2 linked regions of the Lytechinus pictus genome follow. The protein of the gene in region 2 purifies or fractionates together with the protein of the main gene of each other region. This does not show direct contact. Links are inferred from orthologs where the notes say so. Each region holds a gene or a part of one and is shown on either strand. Other genes may lie near its edges.

Region 1 (11,226 bases), on a different chromosome or scaffold from region 2:
AACTACTATAACTCGCACAAGATGTTCAGTGATACTTGGTTACTCTTATTTCCACGTTTTATGAACTAGACCAATACACTTATAGAGATATGATGGCAATTCAACAAATACCCCCAACGTGGCCAAAGTTCTTTGACCTTAACATGACCTTTGACCTTGATCATGTGACCTGAAACTTGCACAGGATGTTCAGTGATACTTGATTACTATTATGTCCAAGTTTTATGAACTAGACCAACACACTTTCAAATTTATGGCTGTAATTCAACAAATACCCCAATTTGGCCAAAGTTCATTGACCCTAAATGACCTTTGACCTTGATCATGTGACCTGAAACTTGCACAGGATGTTCAGTAATACTTGATTACTATTATGTCCAAGTTTCATGAATCAGATCCATAAACTTTCAAAGTTATGATGGTAATTCAACAGATACCCCCAATTCGGCCAAAGTTCATTGACCCTAAATGACCTTTGACCTTGGTCATGTGATGTGAAACTCAAGCAGGATGTTCATTGATACTTGATTAACCTTATGTATAAGTTTCATGAACTAGGTCCATATATTTTCTAAGTTATGATGACATTTCAAAAACTTAACCTTAGGTTAAGATTTTGATGTTGATTCCCCCAACATGGTCTAAGTTCATTGACCCTAAATGACCTTTGACCTTGGTCATGTGACATGAAACTCAGGCAGGATGTTCAGTAATACTTGATTAACCTTATGGCCAAGTTTCATGAACTAGGTCCATATACTTTCTAAGTTATGCTGTCATTTCAAAAACTTAACCTCAGGTTAAGATTTGGTGTTGACGCCGCCGTCGCCGCCGCCGCCGCCGTCGCCGCCGCCGTCGCCGCCGCCGTCGCCGTCGGAAAAGCGGCGCCTATAGTCTCACTCTGCTATGCAGGTGAGACAAAAAATCACAACTGTATTCAACACAACCTGGCACATATTTCACATGTAATCCAACAAAAAGTTATCAACAAAAGCATGGTACACCACGAAGAACAATACTGTATGTCAGTGCTCCATACGGTTCTATTTACTAGCCACATGCGCACACACCAGGTGTAGTTACGAGCACCTTTACGGACTGGTTACCCTTTTTTAAGAGCTACATGTAACTTAACACCAATGAACACGCGGTGTTGATATCACTGACCATAAGGGTCACCAGTCGTTCTTAAAGTCGCTTGTAATAACGAACTGCGCATTTGTGTAGCCGTGCGCTCCAACCATTTATGCATTACAGGGAAAAAAATTTAAAAAATTTCCGGGGGCTCCATTTTAATTTTTTTGTCAAATTTCGGGGGCTCCATTTCTACCTTTCAGGGGCTACTTTTTGCATTTCGGGGGCTCTTTTTGAATGCTCCTTTTTTGTATTTGGAGAAATACCTGTTCACTTATTAATGAATTATTACTTTTTGTTTAATATTGTATGATTTTTTAAGTTATTTTTTTCATGCTTAGAATCTTGGATGTGTGTGTGTGACTGTGAGTTGGACTTGGATATAAATGAATTCAATATCTAATTTCTACTCCGTCTATTCCAGTACAATACCCTGTACTCGGCCATGTACATGTAATAAAGGCCCACATACCCTAACTTTTCGTGAAGTTCTTTGAAAACGCAGATCTCCATGAAAATTGCATTTCTCTATGGGGGAGTCTAAATTTGGTGAGAATGTATTCATTAAGAACTTAAATATACATGACAAAGAAGAAATCATCAAACTTTATGTTAATAGGCCGTTTTGAAAAGCAAAGCCGAATGGCAACTCACCAATGATAGGTTACTAGACTCTGGGATTTCTTTCCTGTGTAATTCAAATTATTTTATCACAGAATTGTGATATCTGTAGGGGAAACATGTGCATCAGAAATTGCACATGGTTGTAGTCATAATGGACCCCTATACATGCAACTGTTTCCCGACCGTCGCGTTGATTTTTTTTTCCATACCTGGTACCATGTGTGTGGAAATACGTGGTACAGAAAAAAGACGCAACTTCGGAATTTGAAATGCGCTCCTCGCTATTTTCAAGGCTTATTCATGATTTTGAGTGTGGATTTTGGATGATTTTTAAATGGTAAGCGGAGCTCGAGCATATGGCGCTAGTGGGTCGTTGAGTTGTTATCACTTGGCAATAATTTCGGGGGCGACATTCAGATTTTATGTCACCCCCCAAAGCATGATTTGGGTGATTTCGAGGGCGACTTTAGGCATTTCCGGGGCGAATTCGCCCGCCGCCCCCATGTATTTTTTTCACTGATGCGTTAGTCGCATCTTGCAGCCAACATGCGTTAGTCGCATTATACAGTCATTTTAATAATTTCAACACTATATTGATTAACCCAAAAATCAGAATTTTGGTTTTAAAATTCGAAATTGAGGTTAAAAAATCAGTTCCGCCAAAATCGGAATGGTTGGCAGGTATGCATGTATACTCAGGCACCAACTGTTACTCACCGAAAATCCCCGCTTAAAATCCTAATTTCTGACTTGATATTTCCAGAGCACCCGAAGGCTTAGTTCAGATTTAAGAACAAAATCGAAAAATCACTAAAATGAAAAAACTGATTTTGTTCAGAGTTCAAGATCTATTTTCTGGCAAATTTATGATGGTATCTTCAAAATGCAATGAAAAAGGCAATTTTACACTATCAAAGAACGGATCTTGTGCGTTCCGGCCGGCTTTGGGCCGCTGAGCTAGCAGCGCAGCCTAACCAGTTCGTTTGGCAATTATTTCGGGGGCGACTTCCAGATTTTATGCCGCCCCCAAGCATAATTTGGGGTGATTTTGGGGGCGACTTTAGGCATTTCCGGGGCGAATTCGCCCGCCGCCCCCGTGTATTTTTTCCCCTAGGGTATGTGTGCTATGGTATGAGTGACGCATCTTCGGGACCTGATTCGCTTGCGTACAATTGCGGCAACAGGGGGCATTTGCACCCCCCCAGAAATTTCAAAATCTGAAAAAAATGTACACATATAGTAAATGCTGCTCTGGTGCCGCCACTGACGGCAAACTAAACTTGTTATAATAAATTTCAAACTTTTGAAGAATACTAACCTCTAATCTGACCTTTTTGACCTCCTCTACTTTGTCTTGGTCACCTTCTTTTGTTTTATCTTTTTCTTTCTGCTCAATGCTGCTGACAATGCGCCATGAGGCACGTCTTGCTCCTATTACATTCTTGTAAGCTACTGACAGAAGGTTCCTTTCTTCTACTGATAAATCTTCATCACCTGAATTGGCCACCGTTTTCATATAGCTAACCATTTCTGCAAAAGAAAAAAAAGATTTATACTGCTTTAACAGATAAATACAAAAGTTATACAGTGCATACCAGAAAAAAAGATTATTACAAATTAAGTGGAGCGCCTCTGGCAGTCTCACCTGCATCACACCATTCATCTAAGCACCGCTAATTTAAAAAAAATACTATCTAACATAATTATTCACAAAAAATACAATTCATATAATGATACAATACTATGTTCATTGAAAATAAATGACATTTGACCTTGATCATGCGACGTAAGACTTGTCAGTGCTACTTGATTACCCCTATATCCACATTTCATAAACTATATCTATAAACTTTGAAAGGTATGGCAGCAATCTAATATTTACCTCCAAAATGGCCAAAGTTAATTGACCTTAAATGACCTTTGACTTTGGTTATGTGACCGGTCATATGACCCAAAACTCGCATGAGATGTTCAGTGATATTTGATCACTCTTACATGTATGTCCAAGTTTTATGAATCAGATCCATAAACGATCAAAGTTATGATGGTAATTCAACAAATACCCCCATCATGGCCAAAGTTCATTGACCTTAAATGACCATTGCCCTTGGTCATGTGACCTGAAACTGGCACATGATATTCAGGGATACATGGTTGCTCTTATGTCCAAGTTTCATGAACAAGATCCATAAAATTTTAAAGTTATGACAATTCCTCAAATAACCCCAATATGGCCAAAGTTCGTTGACCCTAAGTGACCTTTGACCTTAATCATGTAACCTGAAACTCATGCATGATCTTCAGTGATACACTTTTACCCTTATGTCTAAGTTTTATGAACTAGGTCCATATAACATTTCAAAAACTTAACCTTGGTTAAGATTTTGATAAATTTCACAAAAGTGAGCACTAAATGCAAGTAATTGTGATTTTTTGTGAAATAATGGATGAAAACATGATTACTAACGAAATGTATCATTATTTTGTCATGTCATGTATGTAATAAATGAAGCATGTTAATATTCAAAAAGCCACCAAATGCCCTGACAGTATTATGTACAATAATGGGGACAAAATAAATTTACAAGAGTAAATACTAAAATGCACATTACTAGTATTAAAGGGGAATCCAGCCTTGGCCATAAAATGTTGTGTTGGGAAGGAGAAAAATAAATTAAACAGAATGGTGAAAGTTTGAAAGAAATCGGACAAGCATTAAGAAAGTTATAGCTGTTTTAAAATTGAGATCACTAATACTATGTAGATTTCAAATTGGCAACTGGGGAAGTAAATTATGACAAGGGGCAAGGACAACTTTCCCATAGGCCATGTACTTTATTATCAGGGATTTGTGGTTTACTTTTAAGTACCCATTCCACTGGGGCAGTAATCTAAATATAACCCAGGTAGTATATTTTTTTTATGTCCTCATGAACGAAAAATATAATTTGAAATAAAACTTATAGGAAAAATGACATTTTAGCCATAATATGTATTGGAGTACATGAAAGAGTAGTCCTTGCCTTACATAACTATGACATCCCATATGCGGCCAATTTGAAGTCTCCATGGGTATAGTGATTACCAATATTTACAACTTTTAAAAATTCATAACTTTCTTGTTGTTTGTCCAATATTGTTCAAACTTTCACCTATCAACTTGTCCGATTTTTCTTTTCCTTACAAATACAAGTTTTCATTTGGGTTGGATTCCCATTTAAGATAAGCGAGTGGAATACTGGCTAAAGACATAATTTTTAACGAAAGATAAATGCAATTTATGTGATCAATGCTGCATTTTGACATTCAAAATGGCCGCCATAGGCCCATTATACATTGTGTACGATGCGATTGGAGAAATTAATTTTCACAAGAGTAAGAACTACAAAATGCATGTAATTGTGATCACGGAGTAAAATAATGTGTGAAAACATGTTTTCTAGCGAAACATACATGTATCATTTCTTATGTCATGCATGAGATAAATGCTGTATTGTGAAATTCAAAATGGCCCCTATAGGCCCTAACACTATTACCTATGTAAATGGGGACATGTAGGTTTGTAAGAATTTTGATTTACCTAACTATGAAATCCATAAAATCCTGTTGTATGATAAAACATTATTTGAAAACATGATTTTTATAGAATATAGCATTTCTTCTGCCATGTAAGTGATAAATACTGTATTTTGACATTCAAAATAGCTGATGCAATCCCTAATTAAATTATGTTACATGCGTATAGGGAATCTACTTTTTACAAGTGTGAGAACAATAAAATGCATGTACATGTATCTGCGATGTATGAGTAAAAATATTGTCTTCAAAACATGATTTCTAAATACAGTAGATACATCACATATTGGTCATGGAGGTAATAAATTCTGTACTTTGATATAAAAATGGCTGCCAAAGGTTCTAAAAGTATTATGTACATTGTAATTTGGGACATACGCTTTTGACAGAATTTGACTTTGCTTGACTATAAGTATTGCGTAAGAGTGAAATATTGTCTAAAACCATGGTTCCTAACGAGGTATATCATGTCTGGTGCATTTAAGGTGATAAATGCTGTATTCTGAAATGGAAAATGGCTGCCATGGGTCCTTATTGTATTACTGTATATACAATTTGAATGAGAACAGATAATTTTCACAAAAGGGCATATGGCGGCCATTTTGAATTTTGAAATATAATATTTATCACCTAAATTTTAGATGATATATTTCGTTAGTAATAATGTTTTCAGACAATACTTTACTCATACAACACCATTTAGTCAAGCAAAGCAAAAATGTATCAAAATCATTTGTCCCCATTCACATTGTACATAATACTGTTGAGGCCTGTAGCGGCCATTTTGACTTTCAAAATACAGTATTTGTAACCAACCTGGCAGAAGAACTAATATATCTTGTTTGAGATTATGCTTTCAGACAAAATTTTACTCATAGATCACAATTACGTGCATTTATGGTGCTCACTCGTGTGAAAATTTATTTCCTAGTTCACATTGTACATAAAACAATCAATGTCTATGGCAGCCATTTTGAAAGTCAAAATACAGTATTAAACACAAACTTTAAACCTGAATGATATATTTCGTTAAAAATTATGTTTTTATGTTTTATCCCATTTATTCATCACAAATAAATGCACTTCAGTGCTCACTCTTGTGATTTCTTTCATCCTCAATCTCATTGTACATAATACTGTTAGGGCCTTTGGCGGCCATTTTGAATATCAAAATACAGCATTTATCACATACATGGCATATTAAATAATATATTTCGTTATCATTTGTGTTTTTAGTCAGTATGCCATTTCGTTTCTCTTAATAATATGCATTTTAATGCTTAATCTTGCGATTTTTGTTGGCCCCTTTGCCATAGAAACTTTTTGGGCCAGTAGCATGCTATTTTGAATATTAAATACAATTTTCCCATACATTACATAATAAATGATATATCATGTCAGCATTGATGATTTTCATATATTACTTCGTCCATAGATCACAATTACTTGCAGTTTAGTGATCATTTTTGTGTACAAAATTAATTTTCCCTATTTATATTGTACATAATAGTGTATACAGAGGTCTGTGGCGGCCATTTTGAATATCAAGAAATAAATATTTGTCAGAAAATGTTTTTTTCAGAGAGTATTTCACTCCTGCAACACAATTACATTCATTTTATAGCCAATTTGCTTGCAATTAGATGATTTTAATGGGTAATATGCATGTCTTGGCGGCCGTATTGGATTTTGCCAATTTGCGGAAAATGCTCAAGGTTACACGAGTGGCATCCTTCAGATTCGTATTCAGCACCCTCGAATTGACAAGAACCATACAAAAATATTGTATATATGAAAACACAAGGTTATGCCTCTTCTATCCTGGACTAATATCCAAAATTCATGTTAAGACATTGAATGCTAGACAAATTCTGAAAGTGATAGTGAGGTTGTGATGCGGGAAATGTGAATGTTTCCTCCTCTCCTACGCCGGGAAAGACACGGTAGCTGTAGCATAATATGATGATATCGTGATGTGATGTACCGGTACCAGTACCGTATCGTACTTTGCAATGTACAAGAACGTCAGTGCATACTGTTTGTGTACACTGTGAGGTGAGTGTGTAAGTGGCCAATAATGTTGAACCTTTCTTCCTATCATTTGTAGATGAATTGATCAAGAACAGCAGATTTCCATTTATCGGTTATCTCTTTTGATACTTTGAAATCTTTATAACTTAGTTTTTGTTTCTTGGTACCTCAAATATGCATGTAAATGTGAGAAGGATTTAGAAAGAGAATGTGATTATTTTTTTTTTTTGTCCAAAGTTGGGGGTGCGGTTAATCCATGGGTGAGGTTTATAGGCTGTTACGGTATGAAATAAAGCAAATGAACAATTGAAGCAATCGAATGAATGTGAATGTAGAGGGCGTCAACACTTAACAGCATAAATGCGAAAAAACAAACAGAACAAAATGACTGCAAGAAAATTATTTCATAACTATATGTACTCTTCGTTGACCAAGGTTTGTATATTATAAAAGTATCATGTGAAAATTAAAGGGCTGTTAAAGTTAAGAAAATTCTGTCAATATCACGCTAAGATATCTTACATATATCGATAACTATCGACAGAAGAACATAAAAAATATGCTTTTTTTATCCATTACAGCGATGTCTCATACTCACGTTGGTCAAAATTTGTATCTGCCACTGTACCAAGAATGTTTTAAAATCTACGTTCATCATAAGTAAATGATTACATAACATCTCTTAACATAAATACTAATGTTGTAACCCGCAAGTGAAAACCCGAACCGTACCGTCCCGTATAATCCAATAATTTGCAAGCGGGACCCGCTGACCCGTCGGGTTTTAACCCGCAAGTAAATTTATCTTTGAAAAATGAAAATTATTTCTGCAATCCCCACACTATACAGGCTCAAATCACGAAAATATATGCCAACTACTACAATTTGCAAATTCGCCTTTTATTCCGGAGAGAAAATGTTTTTGGGGTTACTTTGTACCCGAAATGGGTCGGCTCTGATCTCGTAATCGAAAGCATTGCGCAATTAACTCCTCGGATTGGAGCCGCAGCTCAGCGCGCGCTAGCTACATGTAGCCCAGGCTGCCCAGCAAATTCGATGTTCAGTTTCCCGTCGCCCGCCCGAGTTATGAAATTTGGACCGCGTTTAAAAATCAAATTCTGAAAATAATTCATTATTTTACTATTTTGACATAGATCTAGATTCAGAACTGATATAAAACATTAATATAAGCTTTTCAGTCACAATTACTTGTATATCATGTAAATACCTGTAATTCTTTTCTTGTTTTTTTCTTGTGAATGGAATGACACTGCATGCTCAACCACACCTCGAGCGATGTTCGTGCAGGCTCCAATCAACTTCACTTCTGCTACACTATGCTCTACCTACCCGATGTAGCGGTAGTGAAGTGGAGTGGAGCCTGCACGAACATCGCTCGAGGTTTGGTCGAGCTACCTCAATAAATCCCACAGTCTAGTAACCTCGCATTGGTGAGTTGTCATACGGCATATCAGACAAAAAAAATCATCAAACAAAACTCAATCTGTTTTACAAGGCCGACGGGAGGCTCACGCACGTACGCATTGGCGCTTGTACTAGCTAGCCAGTCTGAGCTCTGTCTCTCTGCCAGAGCTCTGGGGGACAATTCGCTCTGTAAAGGCCTCAATAATGGTGATTTTATGTTTCAGACAGAGTTTATATTTCGGGAATATTATTCAAAACTGCCAATAAAGTTAGATGATTTCTTCATTGTCATGTATATTTAAGTTATTAATGAGTTCATTCTCACCAAATTTAGACTCCCCCATAGAGAAATGCAATTTTCGTGGAGATCTGCGTTTTCAAAGAACATCAGGAAAAGTTAGGGTATGTGGGCCTTTATTACATGGCCAAGTACTGGAATTAGATGGAGTAGAAATTAGATATTGAATTCATTTATATCCAAGTTCAACTCATAGTCACACCCACACAAACACACCCACATCCAAGATTCTAAGCATGAAAAAAATAACTTTAAAATCATGCAATATTAAACAATAAGTAATAATTAATTTAATAAGTGAACAGGGATTCCTCAAAATACAAAAACGTATTTGAAAAGAGCCCCCGAAATGAAAAAAGTAGCCTCCAAAACGGTAGAAATGGAGACCCTGAAATATTATAAAAAATGAAAATGGAACCCCCGAAAAAAAAATGATTGATTTGCTCCCTGGCTTCAAGACAGTTCCACAGAATAAAAGTGCGTTCAAAGGTTACAAAAGGTCAAACTTTCATCTTCTGGAAAATAATGAATAATGAAATCCTCATTATGAGCTGGAAAAAATGGGACGGGAAACTCGACATCGAGTTTCATTGGCCTATGCGATTGCTTTTGACTAGATCGACTACTGTGCTGCGCTGCACTGGCGCGCGCTCCTTCTTCGAAAGAGCAACTGATGTATTTATGTCGAACTGTCTCAGTCCTGTTCACTGTTCACAAGACAAAAATACGCCAGCATTTTTTTAAAAGGAAATATCTACGTCTCTAAAAGAATCCGCCACGTAAGAAGCACATGATCCTAACTCAATTTTCATTGTTAATGTTTTTATTATGCGTCGTTACTTCTCCCTTTTTTTTCGCATGACGGTCTGCGGGTTTGAGAATGAACTCGGCCCGGCCCGCAACCCGCGATCGGGGGCATACCGGCAGGTTAACCCGTACCGCAACGGGTGCGGGTTACAACATTAATAAATACATCCTCATCTTTCACGTTATTAGCATTATTTTAGGGTTGAAGTTTTATCATTAATTTTGGGGCTTTCTGGACATCATTCTGAGCAGTCAACGTCTTTCGCCTATCCACCATTTTGATATCAAGCTGTACATCTTTGAATGTAGAGGGCAGCAACACAGGGCCGGTTGCTACCTTCTACGATTACTTTAGTTGGTACTTCTCTAAAATTGAGCTTTGCACTTGTGATGTTTTCAATTCGATCGAAATGGAGTGGAGTGCAGTCATGATGTTTAGAATGTCATGATTATAGCGAAGTGGGGGTGAGATCGTGTTTTGTGGCTAGTAAGTATTCGTATTTTGTTGAGATTTTGGAGCAATTTCTGTTGCTATTCTGTGCAGTTTGAGGAAAAATATGTTTTCCATGATTTTCCATTTGAAAAGCCACTTTCAAAAGGCCATTTACGTGAATTCCTTGAAATCAAGGAAAATCATTGTGTCCCTACATAATAGTGGGTATTATCGACAACGAGAGAAACGTTATCGATATCGCTAAGTGGCAAAAAACAAATGATTATCGACAAGACTATCGATAAAGCCGTTATCGATAACAGCCATAAAAAATTATACTGATCAAATATGTACGGCCGCAAGAGTTGGTGGTTAGAAGTATGGTTTGCCGGAATGCGACTGTTTTCCTGATGGGCACAGCCCCGAAGGAAAATGGTTTGATTCGCATCACTAAGGGAACCATGGATGGATCGAAGGCAATATATAATTGGTTTATCCGTCATTAGTATTATCATTTAATACTGAATAACAATAAAGAATCCCGGTCTTCAGGTGTAAGATCATTAATATTTGAAAAAGTTGATTGTTCATTGATTGGCACTCTGTATGCACGTGATTAGTGCTGTAGCAAAACCGAACTGAACCGAATACAGTGGCTTGGTTCGGTATGAAAATTCCAGGCACATTAATTTTTCCAAGAATTGTGTATTAATACTTTAGGAAAAGACTTTACAAATTTAGGTAAAAATAATTTTTTTCATTGGTTAGTGATTATGCACAATAAGAATTCCACACAAAATATTTTTAAAATGTAGTTATGAAATCTTTGACAACCTCATCTTTGATTAAATTGTTATCAATTTCAAAACTTTTATAAACATGATTTGACATTTGAAGC
Region 2 (10,639 bases):
GCAAAACTTTAGAGTGTCATAACTTTCTTATTTTCAGTGTTTTGCTAGTTTGATTTTTCTCTATTTATTCAAATCAACATTTTTATGGGGGGGACTTGACCTTTAATGGGATATACTGTACTGCACATAGGCCAACAAGTTACATGTATTTGTGCAACATTTGGTATATACAATGCTCTTGTAAACACATGTATGTATTTTCTATTGAAAATTGAATATCCATCGATGTTTCTCACTTTCTTTTGTGAAATTAAAACAATTACCTTAAGTTGGTCTTTGTCTCAGGATGCTACATAACTTTTTAGAAGCACTTGCCCAGTCGGGCAAGTAAATTTTTAAACAGTTCAAATATACTTGCCCAAAAATCTATTTCACTAGCCTGAAAAATCATTGAAAAAAAATCTACCTTGTTATTGCCATGACCAAAATTAGGGTCAATATAATATCATATCGACCTTTAATTTGGTCACTCTACTGTGAGAATTTTGCTTGCCCAATTCGGGCAAGTAGTTTTTGTCTTTACTTCAAAACACTTGCCCAACTCTAACTTTTACTTGCCCCCGGCAATCGGGCAAGTGCTTTATGTAGCACCCTGGTCATATTTTGTCCATAATAACATATCTTCATCAATCACATTTTATTGAGTGCAGAATTGAAAACATTACCTTGGTCCTTTACACAAAATATTGCAGTTTTATTATACATGTACAAGAGAAAATGCAATGTGAAAAGCACTAGAAAATTTGAAATATGTCTTTTAATTGATTATGTACAGTGATATACCAGTACATTCAGCTTGTGTTTGTGTGTTTTTTATGGATTAAGTACATGTACATGTGTCATATATGATGGAAATGATAAGAAAATTATTTAGCAAAAAAAATAAAAAAAATCCTCATTTTAGAAATGACATTCAATAAACTGTATTTTCATAATTTCTTCAAAGGACAAGTCCACCTGGGCAACAACAAAAATTATTTGAATAAAAAGAGAAAATTCCAACAAGCATAAAAGTTCACTGAAAATTTCATCAAAATCGGATGTAAAATAAAAAAAGTTATGACATTTTTAAGTTTTGCTTAATTTCACAAAACAGTTATAATGCATATCCTGGTTGATATGCAAATGAGGAGACTGGTGACATCATCCCCTTGCCACTATTTCTTTTGTATTTTATTAAATGATATATGAAATATTTCAATTTTCTCCTCATTGTCAAGTGAACCAGTGATTAATTCCTCCCTATACATGTGGAATTAGCGTTGTTTGATACTATGGTTCAGTCAAGTCGGTCCCTATGGTCAAATCTGTTAAAAATGAAATATTGTAAAATTCAAACAATAAAAAACAAAAGAAATAGTGAGTGATGGACATCATCAACTGACTCATTTGCCTGTCACTGAGTTGTGCATATCACTGTTTTGTGAAAAATAAGCGGAATTTTAAAATGCCAAACTTTCTTATTTTACATCCGATTTTGATGAAATTTTCAGTGTTATGCTAGTTATATTTTTCTCTATTTATTCACATCAACATTTTGCTGGGGTGGACTTGACCTTTGATAACGAATCCCCACTTAATTGCAATGTGGGTCTAAATAATTGTGAAAAAATATATATATATGAACATAAAAAGAAATGACACAAAATCAAACAAAAACAATTATAACTTACACTGCAGATTTGATTACTTCAAGATTTCAAACGTTTTGTTATGAAGTTCATGAGTTATCAAAATGGTGGAAATAAGATGGGATCTATATAAAGTTTAAATAGGAATGAATATGAAATTGATAAAATGATTGAATAAAATGAAATGATCATACTTCCACAGTTTCTCTTTTTATATACATGTAGTATTTTATATTATTATTACGATAGCACATTTCAATAATATTAAAGAAAGAATGTGGAATCTCAGGCAGCTTTAACCTTGTTCTCTGCAACAGCTAGTATTCAGTGTTTGCTGAAAGAAGGCCGTGTGTTGGCCTAGTGGTCCATACCCTACCGGTACTTGCATTAGCTCATAAATGTTTATTGGCTAATGCAAGTATTTTACAATTAACGATATTCATCAGCCGATTGATTTTTTTATTTTTTCTTTAAATTTGCACTGCTAATGATATCGTAGCCCTCTCTTATCTTGTAACTCTTGTAACTAGGCTACGAACAAAGAAGGAAAATTGTGACAAGATCATCGGTGAGTATCTGCTCATCTTCTTACGTTATTTTTCTTAATATAGGGAGACAAGAAAAAAAGAAGCATCAAAAAGTAAAAATTTAGTAGAATTAATCAAAATTGTATTGACCAAACCTTAACCCCGCTGAAAAACCAAGAAATCCGATAGGAAACGGCTTTAGAACAAATATCCGTCGTCAATCATCGAATCATGCGCCGGAGCTCGCAGTGGAAGTAGTCAGGCGATCATTTAGCATGTTGATGTTTTAGAACTGATTTGAAAGAGTAAAAATATTTCGCCACCGCGACAAGAATCGGCCATGAACAAAGTTAGTGTACCGTGGGTGGTCGATTTTAAAAGACGGGTGCAAATGAGCAAATGGAAAATTGTCGCATTCGTTGTTCGTCGATATATGGTAGGGGGTCCTAAAGCTGCGCGGGTCCTAAAGCTACTCCCATCGCGCATGCAGTTTTTATGGCAAACAGGCAACTGCGCACTCTGTGTGTGGAACTGTGACTGCAGAGTGACGAACGATTCCTATTCAATTTTTTCTACAGAGGCTGCAGTAAATCTCTAATACTCTAAATGCAGAGAAAACCAACAACTGTTTGGAATTTTGGAGTTATAATATTCACTTTAATTTCATTTTATCCTATGATAATGTGAATATATTTTAGAAATTGAGGCACAGGAAATACAATTTTTTTGCATGATAAATCAAGTGCGTTGCTTTAGGACCCCTTCTACATCGGGCGGCGAAATTAAGAGGTGTTCGGAAAACACGGCGGGATTTTCGTGTAAGTTTTGCGAGATTTTCTTCTTGGTTAATGGTCTTTATAATATTTGCCACAAATTAGTGAAAGATAATTTGTTGAAAAATTAAAATTGGGATAGTTTTACTTTTAGTTGTTTGAAAACAAAGTGCGTAGCTTTAGGTCCCCCCATCATTACCTCGAGTGAAGTTGGTGCAGTCTCCACTCCACTTCACTACCGCTACACTACGCTGCACCTACCCGAACTTCGAGACCATGAACTCGATCGGATATTCCGAGTGACAAAAGGTGGGATTTTATGGGGAGAAAATACAAAATTCATGCAACATCACGATCTTTAAAAACAAGTGCAACTAATAAGTTTCACTTCTTTTCCATGCTTCTATCAGTCTCAAAATTGATGATTTAGAGCCAACATGAAGTTCCTCACACGTATAAATATTAATGCGCTGCCGACTTCAAAACATCGCATGCGGGAGGTACCGGGTCTGGTCCGAGCTCGGACCCTCGCGTGCATGCGATGTTCTGAAATCGGCAGCGAATTATTACGTGTGAGGAACTTCATGTTGGCTCTAAATCATCAATTTTGAGACTGATAGAAGCATGGAAAAGAAGTGAAACTTTGTGTAAAGTAAGAATATTAGTTGTAGGCCTACTTGTTTTTAAAGATCGTGATGTTGCATGAATTTTGTATTTTCTCCCCATAAAGTCCCACCTTTTGTCACTCGGAATATCCGATCGAGTTCATGGTCTCGAAGTTCGGGTAGGTGGAGCGTAGTGTAGCGGTAGTGAAGTGGAGTGGAGCCTGCACGAACTTCGCTCGAGGTACCCCATCATCATCATATACGCGGATTGAATCGGAGTCGCCGAGCGAAACATGGGAATCTGATCTGCTCAATTTTCTGCTCAAATGAGATGAAAACTGGGTAAAATTGATGAATATTTTCGCAGATACGATGCTTAGAAGATTAGGTGGCCTCCGATTAGGTGGTCGATAAGGGGTAGTTCCAACCATATGCAAATTACGAATACCCTACTCTGTGCGCCAGTGCAGTGCATGAGATTGAGAGTGCCCATGTCATGAATGGCAGGGCCTGTGCTGAAAAAATTAGTTAACTCACCGGTCGGTCGACTACTTACATATTCTGCAGAATTTACACTTGCCATCGCACGTAGAACAATTGAAGAAGTCCTCAAATTGCTGCAGATATACTTAGTCACCTAGAGAATATCATATCAAATCAAACAATGTCCTCTTTTTAACACAAAATTGTTTTTTAACGTCTTGTGGAATTACAATCGGCCCTGAAGCTTAACCCCCAATTTGTAAACACGTTGAAGATGGCCAGCCAAATAAATATTTCCTTTCTTTCGTCGTATGGTATCTGCAATTATTCATATTGGCTTTCGTTTTCAATGACATACAGTATCACTCACTTTGAAGTTATAAATAAACAAATTCATGAAAATATAGACCTATGAATGTTTCTAAATTTAATTTCATCTGTCATCAGTAGAAAAAAAAACACCTACGGTGGAGTACGAATGTACCGTAAAACGGGACTAGGTCTGATAAAATAAATTTATCACCCGTGCAAACTTCCAAACTTTAATATACGGACAGGGGTTAATTCCTGACCCCTGCAGGCTGGAGGCTGCTTGAAATGTTTTCCTTTCAGAGTTTCGAAAAATTCAAATGAATGCTTGAATAACATTATCTAACTTCAGTAATGGCAGAAATTCAGCTTCTTCTTCTTCTGTTGATTTCCTCCAGTCCTGGAGAACTGCGAGATCCAGTGGATACGCAGAAAAAAGTGGTTTGATAAATATGTATAGAGACAAAAGAGAATGGCTCAGAACGAAGTTGGAATAAAGTGTATCACAAGGCTGTGTAGTTGTTGTTCACCAACAGAGAACGTTTGACATGAAGCTCATGCAAGAAATGAAGGGAGTAGTAATGAAGTTGAGGAGCTGAAGCAACAGGTATACTAGTTGCCTTAGTGGCTTAGTGTCCAATCCAAGAAGTACAACATTAGTAATTCAGCTGAGCGACTTGTGACGCAGGAGTCATGGCAAGATCGTGTTGGAGATACGGAGGAAGGTTGGCGAGGAACCTTTTCCTTTCATCTGCATAGAGGGTACATTCTCCTATAAGGTGGGTTACAGTCTCATCCTTGATATCTTTGATATCTTTACTTTGGAACTTATGAGTTCATGCAAAGAGTAAACCACGGTCCAAATGTTTTTTAATACCCCTTCATTTGCGCCGATCAGTAGGTTAATTCAGATATGAGCACATGAGAGTCCGGGATGAGAGTCCTTGTCTCTGTATCTCATTTACTTTAATCATGGAGCTATGAATAGCTCTATGCTTGAATGATGGACTTATAAAGATGATAGTTTATTGATGATGATTTTTTTTTTTTTTTTTTAAACAAGTGCACACCTAGTTACCAATTATGCATATAGCATTTCCATTTATTTGAAAGCAGGATAAAAGAGCATCGTAGATTAAATGCCTTGCTCACGGGCATATCTGCCGCGGCCGGGGATCGAACCCCAGACTTTTTCATGTATAGCCAGGCGCCTTAGACCACTCGACCACGGTTGATGATTTTTTTGTTTTCAATGATATTTTATTTCTTCCTCTTAATATGATTTTACAATTTCAAAAATCACAAAACAAGATATTCACAGAGTATCGCATATAGAAAACAAAACAGGTAAGATCATATAAAATTCATATCAAAATTATCTCAAAATAATACAACTACAATTTCTTCAAGACATTAACACGAAAATGTTTTTATGTCAAATGTTATGACTTTGTTTAAAAGTGCATGATATAAGGGGGAAAAACCCCATAAAAGTACATAATATAGAAGAAAAAGTTACCTCAATATTTATATCATGTCAAATTATGTCAAATCAAATAAACTACTTTTTCTCATGAAACTGATCTTTAAGAGGAAGGTTATGTATCTTTCACTCACCACACGCACCTCACACTCCCTAGCACACAAACATACCATCCCCCAAAAAACACCGTCCACACACACACACACATACACCCCAAAAAACACATCCACACACACACACACATAAACAAACCCTCACGCAAAAATATCATACAACAGGCGCACATCCGTTCCGGTCTGTCGATCTGTAACTTGTATCATTAAAAAAAAAAAAAAAAAAAGATAAAATAAAATAGAGTACGATAAATGAAGAGTCAAAGAAATGCACCAATTTGTTCCCATTTTCTTAAGTGTACTCCCAACTTTCCTGTTTTCTTGGCTATATTATACTCTTCGTTTCCAGGGGCCGCGGAACGGTTTTCAAAGTGGGGGGGGGGGGGGCTGACCATGCAAAAAATCACAATCGTATGGTAATTTTTGCGTTTTTGTACACGGTTTTGGAAAAAAGTGGGGGGCTGAAGCCCCCCCAGCCCCCCCCCCCCCGGTTCCGCGGCCCCTGGTTTCTGTCAACTTTAATCATATCTGTTGCTTTTTGTAGCGACGGTAGCTCGCGCCCTTTTCTCTAGAATTAAAAATTATATGTTTTAGCAGAAAGATTATACAGTTTATTGCATGTATTTCCCACACATTTACCAGATAGACCGATGAAAATTGTTTTCCAATCATCAATCCTAACTTCCTTTAAATGAAGCTTTTTGATGACCTCCTTCTTTAACTGTTTAACCTTTAAACAATCTAAAAATAAATGTTGGTATGTTTCGACCTGTTGTTTACAAAAAGAACAAAGATTGTCTGACTTAAAACCAAATTGGAAGAGCTTCTCTTTTGTATACACTGCCCCATGTAATAGTTTGTACTGTAACTCCCTTTGTTTACTACATATCAAAGCATTTTTCAATCTTGTAAAAGTTTCTTTCAACTCCCCTATTCCAAGATCATATTCACAATGTCCATCAAAAACCTTTAATGTATACTCTTTTTGAAATTGCTCAATAAAGTAATTATATACATATCTGGCTTTTAAATCCATAAATTTATGTAGGTAACCAAAGATCTTCAGTTCTATTTGAAAGTTTTCACTATCTATAACTATAAAATCACTTTGTATCCATATTCTTTTTTAATCACAGAAAAAAATATTTGAACCATCAGCAGATTATTAGCAGTGAAACCCCGGTTATGGAAGTATGAGACTGGTCTTAGTTGACTTCCTACAATAATATCTGATGCTTGAAATATACCTTTCTGATAGAGTTCAACATCAAAAAATGGTTTATTATGAAGACATATAAATCTGTTGTTAAAAATCACAGGATTGATCTTGTTTTCCTCAAAGTTTCTACATTGATCCAAATCTTGCCATGCTTTCAACATATCTTTATAAAATATTGGTATACCTTGTAAGTCCATTTTATTTGCATCATAATTACAAAGAAATATACTCCGGCCTCCCAATGATCTAAAAAAGTAGTCAAAGGTTACTTTCCAACCTAAATATTTCTCACCATACAGCAGCCTTTTAATCCACATAATTCTCTGAGTTTTAATGAAAACTTCAAAAATAGTACTCTGAGTCCCCCTGCACAATAATCTTGATATAGAATTTTCCGTTTTATTCTGTCATTTCCACCCCAAATGAAATTAAAAGAAATATTTTCAATTTCTTTAAAGATATTTTGAGGAACTGAAATAAGAGAAGAAACATAATTTAATTTTGAAAATACATGTATTTTTAACAATCTAATTTTACCAAACATTGTCAGATCTCGTTGCCTCTACCATCCAATTAATCTTTTGATTTTACTCAAAATTTCCTTATAATTTAAGTCATCTTTTATTGTGGAGTCTCGTGAAAAATATACCCCTAAAATTTGTATTATTGCATTCTATGTCCAAACACAGGTATAACCGGCCTATCACATTCTTCCCCCTACCACATAAAATTTGTCTTATCCATGTTTATTTTCAAACCACTCAATTTCTCAAAATGTCCGAAGACTTTCTTCACCCTATTAACTGAGTACGTGTCTTTTAGAAACAATGTACAATCATCTGCGTACAATACTTGTTTTATTTTTCTTTCACCAAACACAATCCCTTCAATACCCGGATCATTTCGAATAAAATTAGTAAGTAATTCAATAACTATAATAAATAAATAAATAAGGAGAAAGGGGATCTCCTTGTCTTACACCTCTTTTAACCTAAAAATATCCAGTTGAGTGTCCCCCATTCATCACACAGCTACTAACATCATTATAAAGAATTCTAACCCAAGAGCATAATACATTACCAAATCCAAAAGATTCCAATGCTTTAAAGTTGAATTAAGAAGGGGGTGAGTTTCCATAAATATAGGTTCTACATACAATATATAGTATATATAAGTTGTTCAAACACATAGCATGTCACAATAATCCTCTGCCTTCTCGATATTTTGCTTTGAAAGTCTATGAAATTAGCCACCTGTCAGAGCCCGAGAGACGAGTGTACAGAAAAGTCACTCGGAGTGTGACGTCACCGGGGGGAATTTAGTATAAGAGTTGCCTGAATGTCATACAGAAATGCTATGCAGAGAGAGAAAGATATTTTACAATTTTTTTTCAAAGCAACTCAAATCAAACAAATGGGACTGATATGTACAAATCTTTACTTTCCCTGTATAAAAAACAGTATGAATAACCACCATGAACTCTTCAATCATGATGTAAGATAGCAAACAGTGAGTTATTGAATGATATTTTCACTATTTCTCATTTATTTTATCACGATGTTCAATCAAGTGAGTAGCTGGAAAGTAATTCCGGCGGCTAGCTCAGCGCGCGCTGAACGCAATACTAGTACACACAACACCCAGGCATTGAGTGTACTGTTATGGTCTGGTAAGTCGACTTAGTTCATGGCCGTGCAGCGATCCCCTGGCGTTTTTTCTTCTTTTCTTTTGTCTTTGACTCCACTTTTATATCCTCTGGATCATTTCCACTCATAGTTCATTCCACAGAACAATCTTGAACCAAACGTATAGTATTCTTTCTCGGCCTTCTGAGTTGTTTTCTATATTTAATTACGCTAGGGGTCACCGTCACACATACAAACGCAATTCGGAAGTGAGTTGAAGACAGAAAGATATATAGTAATTAGTATACATCTCTATGGTTGAAGACAACAAGAACGGTACGGTAGCTCGACAGCTAGCTGCGCCGGAGCGGGCGGCCGGTCGGCACAAAGCAATTCCGCAACCAACTGTGTTTTTTTGCAAGAGCCGCGTCACACGCGGATAAATATGTCATAATAACACGTCTGCTACGTTATCGACTGGTGAGAAGATCTCGATCAAATGCAAATGTCATATTATTCACCTTGAAATTATTCCTTTAGGGTCTATGGTATCATTCTGAGGGAATTCACATATTTGGAATAATAGTACGGCCACAAATATTTTAATCATTTCCTCTTTGCAAGTTCTATGGCTCGCAGATACAACTTCAACTGCAGTTATTCCATATGAAGGAGTACGTGCATAGTACACAAAACGGCACTGCCTTGTTTTCTACACCGGGACCGAATACCCCCCGGTGACGTCACACTCAAAGAACACCCGTCTCGGTAGGCATTGCAGGAGCGAACTCAGGGAAAATGGGTAGGCATAAATCGTTCAAATTCACTATTTTGAAAAAAGAAAATGGGGGGTCGAATCACCTATTAGTGTTTGGGGGTTGTAAGGTTGCTATTAATGTAAATATCTCAATATTTGGAACCGTCTTCTTAATTCAACTTTAAATAGAAGTCTATGTGATACACAATCAAATGCTTTTTCGAAATCTACAGCAATTACAAATCCTACTGGCTGATATAAGGATTGAAATAATACATCGTCTATTAACCTCACTGCCTCTCCAATGTTTCTATCTTTAACATACCCTACTTGGTCATAATGAATAATGTCCCCCAGTACCTCTTTTACCCTTTTAGCTAAAACTTTTGACAATATTTTGTAGTCTACATTAAGAAGTGTTATCGGTCTGTAATTTTTTCATATACAAATGATCTTTTCCATCCTTTTCAATAAGGGTAATTACTCCCTGTCTCTGCGAGTTTGATAACATCTCTGTATCAAAGCTTTCATAAAATGCTTCGACAATAAATTTACCTAAAATTGGCCAAAACGTAAAATAGAATTCAACTGTAAAACCATCATTACCTGGTGACTTATTCCATTTCATTTCCTTTACCGCTTGATAGCATTCTTCAAATGATATTGGCCCTTCACAAAAATCCTTATTTTCTTCACTCAACTTGGGCAAGTCATTAAAAAACATATCGTCAATATCTTCTGCAATATCACTATTTTTGCATTCATATGAATTCGTATAAAACTTCCTAATAGTGGTTAAAATATCTTTGCTATCACACAAAATTTCCCCGTTTTCACTGTATATCTCCTTAATCATGCTTTTCCTTTTGATTTTAATAATTGTTAAAAAAAAAGCTGAATTCCTTTCACCTACTTCAGACCATTCCACCCTCGATCTCACCTTTAATCCTTGACGAGAGTAATCGAAGAGCTGCTCTAATTCACCTTTTTTCAATTCGATTTCATCTTGAATTCCATTGTGAAAATTAGTAACTAAATGATGTTCTAAATCATTAATATCCTTTCCTAATTTTTCAACTTTTGCTTTTCTAATTGCTGCTTTTTTACGGGAGAA

Evidence for each region.
Region 1: the proteins of 3-phosphoinositide-dependent protein kinase 1-like (region 2) and uncharacterized protein LOC129254990 purify together in Homo sapiens (affinity purification with mass spectrometry; 3 studies listed by BioGRID and IntAct, with this or other methods). This does not show direct contact. The link is inferred for Lytechinus pictus from reciprocal best matches to the Homo sapiens genes PDPK1 and YWHAE.

Annotation. Positions count from the first base shown.
Region 1 is NC_087246.1:3,529,943-3,541,168, reverse strand, and holds the start of uncharacterized protein LOC129254990, read right to left. Parts: upstream 4,987-11,226; 5' UTR 3,422-4,986; coding exon 3,077-3,421; intron 1-3,076. UniProt on the Homo sapiens protein: Adapter protein implicated in the regulation of a large spectrum of both general and specialized signaling pathways. Binds to a large number of partners, usually by recognition of a phosphoserine or phosphothreonine motif.
Region 2 is NC_087254.1:723,102-733,740, reverse strand, and holds the start of 3-phosphoinositide-dependent protein kinase 1-like, read right to left. Parts: upstream 4,287-10,639; 5' UTR 4,120-4,286; coding exon 4,093-4,119; intron 1-4,092. UniProt on the Homo sapiens protein: Serine/threonine kinase which acts as a master kinase, phosphorylating and activating a subgroup of the AGC family of protein kinases.